Linked DNA regions of Danio rerio. The protein of the gene in region 1 interacts with the protein of each later gene in a biochemical or structural test. Links are inferred from orthologs where the notes say so. Each region holds a gene or a part of one and is shown in the gene's direction. Other genes may lie near its edges.

What was found.
Region 2: of the proteins of crk (region 1) and abl2, one has a biochemical effect on the other in vitro, tested with the Homo sapiens proteins (2 studies listed by BioGRID and IntAct, with this or other methods). The link is inferred for Danio rerio from reciprocal best matches to the Homo sapiens genes CRK and ABL2.

What each region holds. Positions count from the first base shown.
Region 1 is NC_133190.1:27,215,305-27,221,728, forward strand, and holds the start of crk (adapter molecule crk), read left to right. Parts: upstream 1-2,936; 5' UTR 2,937-3,239; coding exon 3,240-3,459; intron 3,460-4,556; coding exon 4,557-5,134; intron 5,135-6,424. UniProt on the Homo sapiens protein: Involved in cell branching and adhesion mediated by BCAR1-CRK-RAPGEF1 signaling and activation of RAP1.
Region 2 is NC_133183.1:16,722,228-16,728,496, forward strand, and holds the start of abl2 (tyrosine-protein kinase ABL2), read left to right. Parts: upstream 1-1,942; coding exon 1,943-2,042; intron 2,043-3,480; coding exon 3,481-3,645; intron 3,646-6,269. UniProt on the Homo sapiens protein: Non-receptor tyrosine-protein kinase that plays an ABL1-overlapping role in key processes linked to cell growth and survival such as cytoskeleton remodeling in response to extracellular stimuli, cell motility and adhesion and receptor endocytosis.

The sequences.
Region 1 (6,424 bases):
TTGTAGGAGCTTTCGCACCAGAATAACTGTTTTACAGTTCCTAGAATGGATACATGCCATATGAGACACTGACATGGTATTAAAGTGATACAAGACATTAACAATCAGAAAGCTAATGTTAGCTGCTTTTCGAAGTTGCCTTTGTCTGAGGTGTTGTGTTCTTTTCTCCTCTTCAAAGATGTAGCACTACAAGTTGTCAGGTGATTTATTAATGCTTTTACTGTTGCAATCATAAAACTGATATATCTATGTTCTATCTCTATTATCACAAAACACAGTGAAAACACAGCTTCAATTACAGCATCCTCAATCCCCCAGGTACTGACTTGTTGTTGATCCCAGCTGTCATATATCACTTAGGAGCTCCTGTTGGAACCTAGGAAAATAGTCCCGGAAAAATTAGTTCCCTGGGAACCATCCCTGCAAGCTAGTTTCTTTAGCTACCAAGTATGAAAGTCTGTAATTTAGCTTTCAGAAGGGTGCAACTGGTCCCTTTGTAGCCGTTAAGAGCCCTTGATGTGCACTTCTAAGCCCCGCAATGAAACGATCACCATGCAGACTTAAACCAATCAGTCAAAGTGGCATTTCATTACCGAAGTGCTGACTCGGTTTAAGTTGCCATTGGGGACTGGGCCACAGTGTCTGAAACAGTTATGTTCTTAAACCTCTCCTGTCTGAGAACTCACTCTTCTGATTGGTTACTCCCCGCAGTCTGTTGTGATTGGTCAACCACTTACAGCGCTTCTCAAAAACTAAACAGCCATTTCCATTTCTACAGTTTTACCTCTGGATTCAACTAATATTATGTACCATTTCAAAAGTTTTATCATATTAATTTAGACCCTTTAATTGCAAAAAACTGATCACACATTACATGAAATTTAAAATGTGAAAAAGCAAAACAGGGGCACTTTAACATGTTGGATTCAAGCAGAATGGAGCTGTGAATCGGTGTGTACATCTATGCATCTGACAGGCACAAGCATCACATTCTCTCTAGCATTGGAAAACAACTTCAATTTTATTCAGTCCAGTGAATATGCATGTCCCAAGTATCAGGTGGATGGGACGTAGATCCTTGTATTAAGTGCCCCTAATTTATACAGTGGAAAACCAAAATCTTTTTTCAGTGTTGGCCCAAGAACAACATGATTGTTGGGAAACGCAGCAGGACTGAAGCCAAAGAGAAAAGACTCACTGCATGGAATTGTTGTTTGGCTACGCATTGGTTTGTAATACTGATATTCTGTTGTTGCTGCTGGACATGGATTTTAAAGAGATGTGAGATTTCTCTGTTTGTTAGAATAGATCCTTTAACCTCTAAATGATATTAAGATTTCATTTCTATTTATCCACTGATAATAAAATGATAAAGTGTTTAGTATATACCTATATTTAGTGCCTACTTAAAATTTCACATTATTCATATACGCAATTCAAAATAGTTCAAATATGCCTGTAAATTACAGTGTATTGATTAGATTTGTCTTCATGAAAATTAGACATTTTAAAATTAGATTTGTCTTAATTAATTACCCATTATTTTGAATTCACTTAAGTGAAAATACTATAGTGCGTTAACATCATCATAATAGCTTATAGCAGTAGTCTCAAACTCAATTCTGGAGGGCCACAGCTCTGCATAGTTTAGCTTTATCCACCTCCAACTCACACCTGCTTCATAGTCACTGGTAGTCTTGAACACCTTGATTGGTTGAATCAGCTGTGTTTGATTAGGGTTGGAGCAAAACTATGCAGAGTGGTGGCCATCCAGGATTCCAGTTTGAGAACTATGGCTTATATGATCAGTGTTTTTCTAAGCTCCATCTTCAAATTACGGTTTATTAGCCTACATGAATGGTTTAGTAGCCTTTGTAAAGGTGACCAATATGTTTCAATTTATCATGTCATTTCATGGTCAACAGGTAGCCTCAAAATCTCCTGCTGTGTTTCAAAGCCATATCTTTTAGTCAAGTTGTGCCATTACGGAATATATATCGATAAAAGTGCACTGAAGAGCTGTGAACAATGACTTGGTCAGTATTTCTGTACTCCCACAATGATTAATGAACCAAGGGAAATGCAAGGAATGACAAACCGGAACAGCAATATGTGTATGATTATTTGTAAACAAATAAAAATGTATTTGACTGTTGTTGGTATCAAAACCAATAAACCTTTAACAAATATACACTTCATTTATGCGTTACGCGACGAATAATGTTGGTCGTCAATATGTTTGATTAGACCATTTGAGAGCTGAATTGTAACTGGGTGAGACTGGTAGAAAGACTACAAACTATTAGTAATCGATGTCGACATCTAGTGGTTGCTAATTTTGTGGACTCGCTTGTAAAGGACAGTGTTTACGCACTTCCGTTTTTTTTTTTTTTTGTAATAATTTACAGCACTTTCGACCTTTAAATAAATTAGCGAATATGGTTGATGAAAATCATATTTAACTTATGTTTTAAAGGGATGTCTAATTTGTTAAATTTAGTAGACTAACTGTTAGACCACTTACACTATGTTTGTTTGCTCAGGTAATTTCGGGGTCAGCCCGCTTGGACTGGTTAACAACCTGTTTGGACCAGCCACTTGAACCTCTCACTAGAATTTAACAAAACTGTTATGTTTAGCGGAATTTGGGTTAATACAAAGATTAATGCGATGCAAATTGATCAGTATAACTAATGTAAATTCAGAAGTTATAATTGTGTTCATATGAACAATTCCGAAATACGATTACATAAATTAAAAATAAAAAAAACGGTTGGTGTTAAAAAAAGATTGAAACTCCATAATGATACAAGATAAGGCCTTACTTTCAATATTGACCGCACCAATATGACCACCAACAGACACCATCCGCGTCGGCGGCTATTGCATCACTTCCGGGAAATAAGGTCAAAAATTGTTTCCCTTGTCCGCCATTTGAAATATTTGAACTTCCTTGTGACAACTTCCAATGTACGTTTTGGTTTACACTGGACAATTATCAGAAGTTCTGGGTGAATAGCCGCGGTTTTTGCGTCCCATGCACGTTGGAATACCGACGTCAATTGTTTTGTTAATCGATTGGGCCAAAAAGCGTTGAAAAGTGTGCGAATGCTGCGCGTATTCGAAACGTGTTCAACAACGGAACGCGGTAAAGTTTTTGCATGAGTTGAACGCTGCTTGCGGATAAGGAGAGGCGAAGGGAAGGCCTGTGAAGCCTGGGCTTTTTTCTAGCGCTAGTCATGGCCGGAAATTTTGATTCGGAGGACCGAGGGAGCTGGTATTGGGGGAGATTAAGCCGGCAAGAGGCGGTTTCGCTGCTCCAAGGGCAGAGGCATGGAGTGTTCCTGGTGCGGGACTCGATCACTATTCCCGGGGACTACGTGCTGTCTGTGTCGGAGAACTCCAAAGTCTCTCATTACATAATAAACAGCATCAGCAGCAATCGCCAGTCAGGACCAGGTAAGCGTTTGAACAAATGTATTTAAATACTATTAACGACAGGACGGATAAATACTGCTTTAGCAAAGCGCTTAGCAGCTCGATGAAACTTCTATACTACGAATAGTTGTGCATATTCAGTCTAAAATCTCGCGTCATTCTGGGGTGCTGTGTAACCAGGGGTTCGGTCTTGTACACTACGGGCCCCAAATATCATTCTCGGGTGTAAAATGATTTGTATGCTTTCGTGTATGATGCCAGATTTGTTATGTGAAAATTGTATACAAATTCGTTTTATAATATAATATAGGAAACGTTTAGTTGCAATATGTGTCATTATTTAACATAGTTGTTCAATTGTTCACACGTTAGCAGATTCTTTGAAGTATCTTTATTTTATCTACTTACATTTTGCTTCGTTTGAATCGTGTCTTATAATTTTGTGTTCTTGGTTTGTTTATTTGTTTGTTTATATTAATTTGTGCATATTTATCTTGACTAAATGCTCGTTTATTTCAGTTTCACCCTTATTTTAAAACCGCTGCTTCATTACATTCTTACTCCGACATACATGTCTCACCTTATCAACTTTTTATATAACAAATACAATCTTATTAGTTATGTGTCTGTCATTCATTTGAATTACACGCATTATTATAGGTCATGTCAATCACTTATAACATAAACTCACTTTTTTTGTTTGCAGAAATGATCAGCAATATTTAATTTCCAATCTTTTTTGCTGCTTTTCCCATAGGTTGAACCCATAAAATGTTACATTGTTATACTATGTAGTTTTTGCAACACTTATCAGATTTTCATGGATTAGAGAGAGTTCAGTTTAAATGTACACCCCGATAAAAGTTCTAAACCTATATTAGTTTCTCTTTTCTGTTGAACACAAAAGAAGATATTTTGAAGAATGTTGTAATTAAGTAGCCATTTACACCTCCATATTAGAAATAAAATGCCTACCAAATTCCTATGTTCAGTAACTTTTTTTCGTGTTAACATTATGATGAGTAATTGTGAAAAAATTGAATTTTTTGCTGAGCTACCCCTTTAAATTTAAGCAGATCTTGATTATCCATCCATCATCTCATAATGTCATCCCGCAGGGCTTGCTCCTCCTCGGTTCCGGATTGGAGATCAGGAATTTGATGCCTTACCTGCCCTGTTGGAGTTCTACAAAATCCACTACCTGGACACCACCACTCTCATTGAGCCCATTAGCAAATCCAAGCACTCGTCTTTCATCAGCGTCAATGCGGGGACAGGAGGAGCTCCTCCGAGGCTAGAAGAGGAGTACGTCAGAGCTCTCTTCGACTTTCCCGGCAACGACGACGAGGACCTTCCATTTCGAAAGGGTGATGTTCTTCGAGTGCTGGAGAAGCCAGAGGAGCAATGGTGGAATGCTCAGAATTCAGAAGGCCGTGTTGGCATGATCCCTGTGCCCTATGTGGAGAAGTACCGACCTGCCTCACCGACATCAGGTGCACCTGGCGTATCAGTCAGTGGGTCCGGTGCTCACGGCAACTCTGACGGCCACAGCACTCAGTCTCCACCTCTGCTTGGTGAACCGGGCCAATACGCCCAGCCCACATCCTTACCCAATCTACAGAATGGCCCAGTTTATGCCAGGGCGATTCAGAAGAGAGTCCCCAATGCCTATGATAAGACAGCTCTTGCTTTGGAGGTAACAAATGTAAACTTTTCTGAGATATTAATAAATATAAAAATGAAAATATTGCATCATTTATGAACCTTCAAGTTATTCTAGATGTATCCAGTAGTCAGCATTTGAAGTGGATCAAAACCTTCCATCTTAAGTTGTACTAAAATAGTCCTATTTAACAACATCCATTCTTGCCATGATTGTCAGAACTTTATTTGATCTACTTTAAATGTGGACTACTATATGTCCTATTCCTGACAAACACTAATGTGACTTAGCTTTGAATTGCAAGTAAATGTACACAATGTTTGCTTCAAAAAAGCACATTAATGTGTTATAAGTCATTCATACTGCTCAGTGGGTTATTTAATATTTTCTGAAGCAAAGTGTTAAGTTTTTGAAAGAAAAAAAATGCTTATTTAAAAGATTATAAGCTCATATAAACTGGAGCTGCACAATTATTTAAACACAATGTTCATGCACGTCGTTTTGTGAGTAAAAGCCAGCTCTGTGGTCAGTAGTATATCTCCAGCTTTCAAATGGAGCACCATTTACTAGTTACTCATAGTTCATGATCTGTTTGGTAAATGCAGCTACATCTAAAATCAAATAAAGATACCACATTTAACATGTTTTAACTTCCAATTTGTCTTTGAGATAATGTGGCTATTTCTGTTCAATAACTTTGTGTTCACACCAAAGGCGCAAGAGCATCAGAGTTCTCTCTGGCTTTCACAGTTCCAGCGGCGAGAGCGTCAAAAATCGATACATTAACCCCGTATTTAAAGGAGCCGTTGCAGCATATCAGCAAATTAGTTACGTTCCCACATAAAAATGTGTATTTTAGTAAGAAAATGTTGCGCAGCTTTTTAGTAAATTCATTTAACTACAGAAGATCCAGTTGTTGTATGTGCAGTGGCTTTCCTCCACTTATCCAATATGTGTCCAAATGTCTGAAATATTCTGAAGCAGCAGTACGGTTTTGTACTGTCGTTAGTTAGCATGCATTTCCCGTACGAAATAAAATAAAATTAATTAATGCACATCAGTAACTTTAAAAAAAAAAATTTGTATTTAAGTCCCTGTAAAAAAAACATTGCAACTGCAATACTAAAACCCTTGGGAACAACTGTGGTCGGAATCAAAGTTTACAGGACTGTGTTCTCTGGACTCATCTCAAGCGGTGAACTTCTACATTCTGATTGCTTGCCCTCGAACCGTGTCATAGCTTATTGCAGTAAAGTTGACTTGATTTAAACATTCCTCGACGTCAACGAAAACACGCTGCTCCTCTATGCTTATCGCCACCAG
Region 2 (6,269 bases), on another chromosome or scaffold:
AAAAACTGAATTTGCTGCATTAGGAAAAGCTGCGTGAATCTTTATTTAATATATGACTTGCGCCTCAGAATACAATGCCAACACTCAATGAACACGTGACGTGGTGGTGTTTAAATTCATGAAACGCGGAGCAAAGGTGCTCTTGATAATTCTGGAGATCATTATTAATATAATAACACTAATACTGATGGTTAAGGCGTCAATGAATGCCCAAAACAACATTTCAGATGTTTTCCAACGTGCTCAGCTTGCTGGTTTGTCCATTAACACACATTTTTATCATCACATGATCTCTTAGAACAAAATCACATGACTTTTTAAATGTGCATACTGGAATTTGTTCTGTAAAAGTCTTTCCTTCGTAGTTTATACGCATCTTATCGAATAAAATTTTATCCTACTTAGTTTTGCGCATTTTCAAAATCTATGTGCATCTTGCCATTTCCATCGACCGTTTTTCTATGCACATATCCAAAATGCACATGAAAATAGGTGAATGGAAACAAAGCTACTGTTACTTAAATTTAAAATGTTAATGCTTTTAATTATGAAGTGCTTATTTTATTTTTAGTAGCACAATAAATTAGCGCAATTACAAACCTATTAGGTTCATCAAGGTACAGTAATACAGCAAAACTGTATATTTGTGAAATAGTATCAGAATTGAAAATGTAGTTTCAATGTTTTGAAATGTTTTGCCAGTGCCGACAATTTGTACTTTTTAAAGTTGTTATAACATATATACAATACTGGTCAAAAGTTTGGGGTCAAAAGTTACATTTTTTAAATGTTTTAAAATAAGGTTCTCCTGCTCACCAAGGCTGCGTTTATTTAATCAAAAATACAGTACAAATTGTAACATTGTGAAATGTTATCATTTAATTTAATCATTTATTCCAGTGATTTTAAAGATGAATTTTCAGCTTCAGTCACACGATCATTCAGAAATAACTCTAATATTAATTATTATTATTATTATTATTGTTGTTGTTGTTGTTGTTGTTGTTGTTGTTGTTATTATTATTAATGGTAATAGTAATAAAAGTAATAATGACTGGAGTAAAACTTTCATTTGAAACTACATACAGTAAGTAATAATTAAATATTTAATACATAGGTATTTAACATTTTTTTACAATTATTAAACGCCGCCTTGATGAACAGAATAATGTAATGTAAATTATTAAATAATTTATGATAAAAAAATGTCCCCAAACTTTTGACCGGTAGTGTATATTTTTTCTGTAAAGAATGAGATGCATTTTTAAGGGTTATTTGAGTAGAAAGTTGAAAACATTAGTTGTCCACTAGCTGACTCTTGTATTGGTCATGATGTGTCATGATGAACCTTTTGTTGCTGTTGGATTTGTGATGCAAGTTGAGGATGAATATTCTGGCTGATGCTCATGCCAGGCATTTAGCATTTGAAATAGGAATTTTAATACCACGGTATTCTCTTAATCATCCTGCAAATTCCACAGGATTAGGCATGGTAATCATATCCTAAAATTCCATGACAAGACTGTTTGATTTCATCCAGTTTTTAAAAGATCTAATCTAGCCCAATCTCAAAAACAGAGTTTGTTCTCTAATAATCATTAAAGTCAGTTTCTGATGCTCTTCTGTCTCATCCCACGTTTAGTCCTGCCACAATTTTCCCCTAAGGAACGGGGCAGCTGCCCAGACATGCTGTGTATATGCGCGTGTGTGTGTGTGGCTGGTTGACAGCTGAAGAGGAAGACCAGCAGACACAGGCATGCTCAAGGCGTGGAGACAGACTCTCCCACACCATTTTTCCAACCTCAAAGCTGCTTGACGCTCCTCCCCTGCTTACAAACTAGCATAAGAGTCCAATTCTCCCAGATGAAAGGAGAATCCTCAACACATCGGGTCTGTGTTTTGTTCCATGTGAGATTAGACATTAGTCTAGCGCCGCTAGATTATGACATTGAGGACCCTTCCGTCCAGCAGCAGTTTTGAGGAAGAGTGGGTCAGGCTGACCAAACTACCCAGCACACAGGATGACCACTATTGCCTCGCAGGTAGAGCTTTTCTGAGGATTTGTGGAGGATTTCAGGTTCAAGGACGTCTATTTGTTGGTTTTTGTGTGGACAATGTGGAAGCTTCTGCCATTCCCAGGATTTATTTGCTTTTATGCGTCTGAAGTTTGTAGACATGTTAATTCAGCTGAATTTAATATTTAGCTAGGAAATATTTCAGAGAAATTTCACCTTTGGATTTGGATCTGCTCTCTGGATTTATGTATTTGAGTAAAACATAATTCTGTAAGGGGGCGAGGCAGTGGCGCAGTAGGTAGTGCTGTCGCCTCACAGCAAGAAGGTCGCTGGTTCGAACCTCAGCTCAGTTGCCGTTTCTGTGTGGAGTTTGCATGTTCTCCCTGCCTTTGCATGGGTTTCCTCAGGGTGCTCCGGTTTCCCCCACAGTCCAAAGACATGCGGTACAGGTGAATTGGGTAGGCTAAATTGTCCGTAGTGTATGAGTGTGTGTGTGAGTGTGTGTGTGGATGTTTCCCAGAGATGGGTTGCGGCTGGAAGGGCATCCGCTGCGTAAAAACTTGCTGGATAAGTTGGCGGTTCATTCCGCTGTGGCGACCCTGGATTAATAAAGGGACTAAGCTGACAAGAAAATGAATGAATGAATGATAATTCTGTAAGGAATTTCATTTAAGGACCAAACAAGGTGTCTATGTTTTATGGTATATATTCATTTTAGACAACACAATACCAATGTTTAACTTCAGAAGAAATGAGCATTTGATGAAAAAAATATTATTCTGCTTGAATGTTCTAAATGACATTTCTATTTGTCGAAATTTGTAAGAAATCAGTCAAGCGAAAGTCAAGTTTATTTAAATAGCTCTTGTCACAAAAATTATTGTTTAAAGCAGCTTTATAAAATAATTGCATTACAATAAAAAAAAAAAGGTTTAGGTTATTAGTTACCGTAACTTCATAACTTTAACTAATTAACAAGTAACTAATAGCTTTAGCAGCTAATGTTATATATAAACATAGTTAACCTGTAGTTATATAGTGTATAGGTGATGTTCATGTGTACATGTTATCAGACTTTTACAGAATAAAACAAATATTAAACCATACCCAATTAATCCAGAGAAGCCAGATTTTATTTATTATATTTGTATTATTAATTGCAGTTTTGAAAAAGAGCCCATTGTAAAGTCGGTGTGACGTCAAGAGCAAAGTGGTATCATTTTGAATCACCTTCATTTTGCGTCAGCTAGTTTCGGTTTTATCACATGTCTTCTCTCCTCTCACCTTGGTGTTCACTTGTTTATCGACTCCTCCTTTCCGGAAACCCCTCCCTCCCACCTCCTGTAGACTCATTCTGCCCCTCCCAGAGGCCTCTTCTCATCTGAGATCTTCTGCTTTATTGGCAGACGCTTGTGTTTTCAGTTTCTCATCTGCTGTGTTTTTTTCTCTGTCTCTCTTCTGCCAGAAGCCCTGCACAGGCCGTTTGGACTGGACTCGACGGCGCTGACGGAGGCGGTGCGCTGGAGCTCCAAGGAGAATCTGCTGGGTGCTGCTGAAAGTGACCCCAACCTTTTTGTGGCACTTTACGACTTTGTTGCCAGTGGTGACAACACACTAAGCATCACGAAAGGTATGATGTGAAGGAGACGAGTAGTTGCACAATAAATTGTGGTTGGTACAAGTGTGCCGCAAGCCTACGTTTGAGTGAAGGTTTCGGCCGTTAGATCGCCCCCTGGGGGCTGGCTGCAGTACAAGTCATAAAGCCCGCCTCCTCCGTGTTAATGAAGGAGACTTGAGCCCAAATAAAAAAAAATATTACACTTGCAATAAAATGTCCCGAAAGATAGTTCTGGTCGATTAAGGCACTGGTTATTGTGCTGAAATAGGTGCAGATCTTCATTTTTGTAAACAGTTTGTTTTTAGCAGTAATTTAATGCTGGGTGTGTCATCGTGATTGACAGCGGTGATTGACAGTTTCTCAAAGCGCGGCGTCTGAGCTTCGGCAGGAGACTGAAGTAGACTGAAATGTTATTATTCGATTTCTGTGTTATTTTACCATGACAAAATGAGTTCAGCAGTAAACTATAGTTTCTGACATACATGATCCTGGTGGAACACTGTTTATTCGCTAAGTTCAGGGCTTTTTTCGGGCTTTATTAGTTTGCTGATACACGCCTAACCACCCAGATAGCAAAACACAGTTCCGGCTAGATTCTCGCCTGCCGGAGACTTATCTCTTAGAGCTCAGACTGACTAATGTTACCTCTGCTGGACCTACTCCGGATGCCTGGACTTACTACCCAATTCCAGCCCGAGTCAATCGAGCCAGATGCGGCGGCCGAGCGAGCAGGCGCTGCCGCATGCGAGCCGGAATCAGCCCGCGACGCCGCGAGTAAGTTATGCGCTGCGGCCTGGAGCTGGCGCGATTAAATATATAAAACCCTCATATTTGTTAACGTTATTACATCCATTTGTGTTGATATGACAGCAAACGCATGCTGAGAAGTTCGGGGGGCGTAGTTGATTTTACATAAAGCGTTTGGTTGGAAGCTCGACTCCGCTCATTTTCGCGGCTCCTCCTCTGGCTCCATCAGACAATCCTTCTGCGCATGTCTGGCTCCAATTTCAGCAGTCTTTTGCGACAGTTTGTGCCCGTCAAGCAGGCGTTTTGCCCTCAAGGCGTTCAATGGGAAAAAGGGCTGTCGCGTCGTCCATATTTTTTACAGTCATTGGCTTGGTATCATTGTACACTTTAACCCATGGGTGTCCAAACTCAGTTCTAGAGGGCCGGTGTCCTGCAAAGTTTAGCTCCAACTTGCTTCAACACACCTGCCAGGAAGTTTCTACTATATCTAGTTGGAGTGTAATTAGCTGGTTCAGGTGTGTTTGATTAGGGTTGGAGCTAAACTCTCTAGAACACCGGCCCTCCAGGACCGAGATTGAAGACTACTGCTTTAACCGTTTGTTCTCTATTTTATATTTTCTGCAACATGGCACTGCACAGTGTGTTGCTGTCTTCAGAGAATGTAGTTAAGAGGTTTCTCATTATTTATTTATATGTGTTAATCAGTGGGCGGAGCTAAAAGGCAGTCTTGTTGTATGGAGGCAGGATTTAGCTACTAAAGTTGCACATTCAAGCAGTGTTGCCAGCTTAGCAAATTTGTCGCTTTGTTTAGCGACTTTTTAGACCCTCTAAGTAACAAATTTTCAAAAGAGCGACTAGCGACAAATCTAGCGACTTTTTTGGGTGTTACTTGAGATTTTAATAGATTCTCATGTGCCCATACTGTATCGTTTCTACTCTTCTCAAGAAGCTGCGGGTGATACCGTCGGCCCCTCCTCTGCCTCAGAGCACTGACAGGGTAAAGTCTAGATCTGATACACGGCCGGCCGGAAGTGTGATATGCACATCAATTATAGCAGCATTTTTATGAATCTGTATAACAATAATTCATATTTTACATTACTGTGATGGTTGGGCGGGGGGTAAACATTAATAAAATACAATTAATGGGAGATTTATTAAATAATATAAATAATTCTTATTAACTTCCAGCCGCAACCATATTCAATCTAGCAATCTACCACAGTCTCTCCCACCTGCAGGCCGAGAGCAGATCACTCCTCTGCGTACTGACGGCAAATGATTTAGCACCGTGAGTGTGAAGGTATTTCCCTTGTACAGTCAAACCGATCTGCTGCTTCTTTGTTTTAAATTTAACCGTTTAATTTGACTGTTTATTCTTTTCTTGTTCACAATCACAGATATTTTAGTAAGTTTCAAAACTTGTCTGAGTTTATTACGTCAGAGAGATTACCGCAAATTCACTACACATCTATTCTGATATACCGTATTCAAACAGCAATACATTTCGTTAAATTGACATGATAACATAAAGCAAAGTGCAGATATAAATACCCCTATATTGACCATTGGCTGTTAAACAGAAACGGTAAGACGTGATGACATCAGTAATATGCAAATTGGCATATGACATAATCTAGCTACTTTTCGGGCAGAGCTTAGCACCTTTTCATTGTAAATAGTTGGCAGCACTGCATTCAATGTGTCGTTTTGGCAGAATGGCTTCAAAATAAACTTTTAAACTAGCAAAAAGTTTTGACTTGATCATACAGTGACCTTTTATCAATTTAAAGATCATTGGAATTTTGATTTCTTCATTCACGCTTCCCTTTAAAACTGAAATAAACCAGGCCCGGAGAGTGTTTCATAAATGTTATTGATGACTTCCT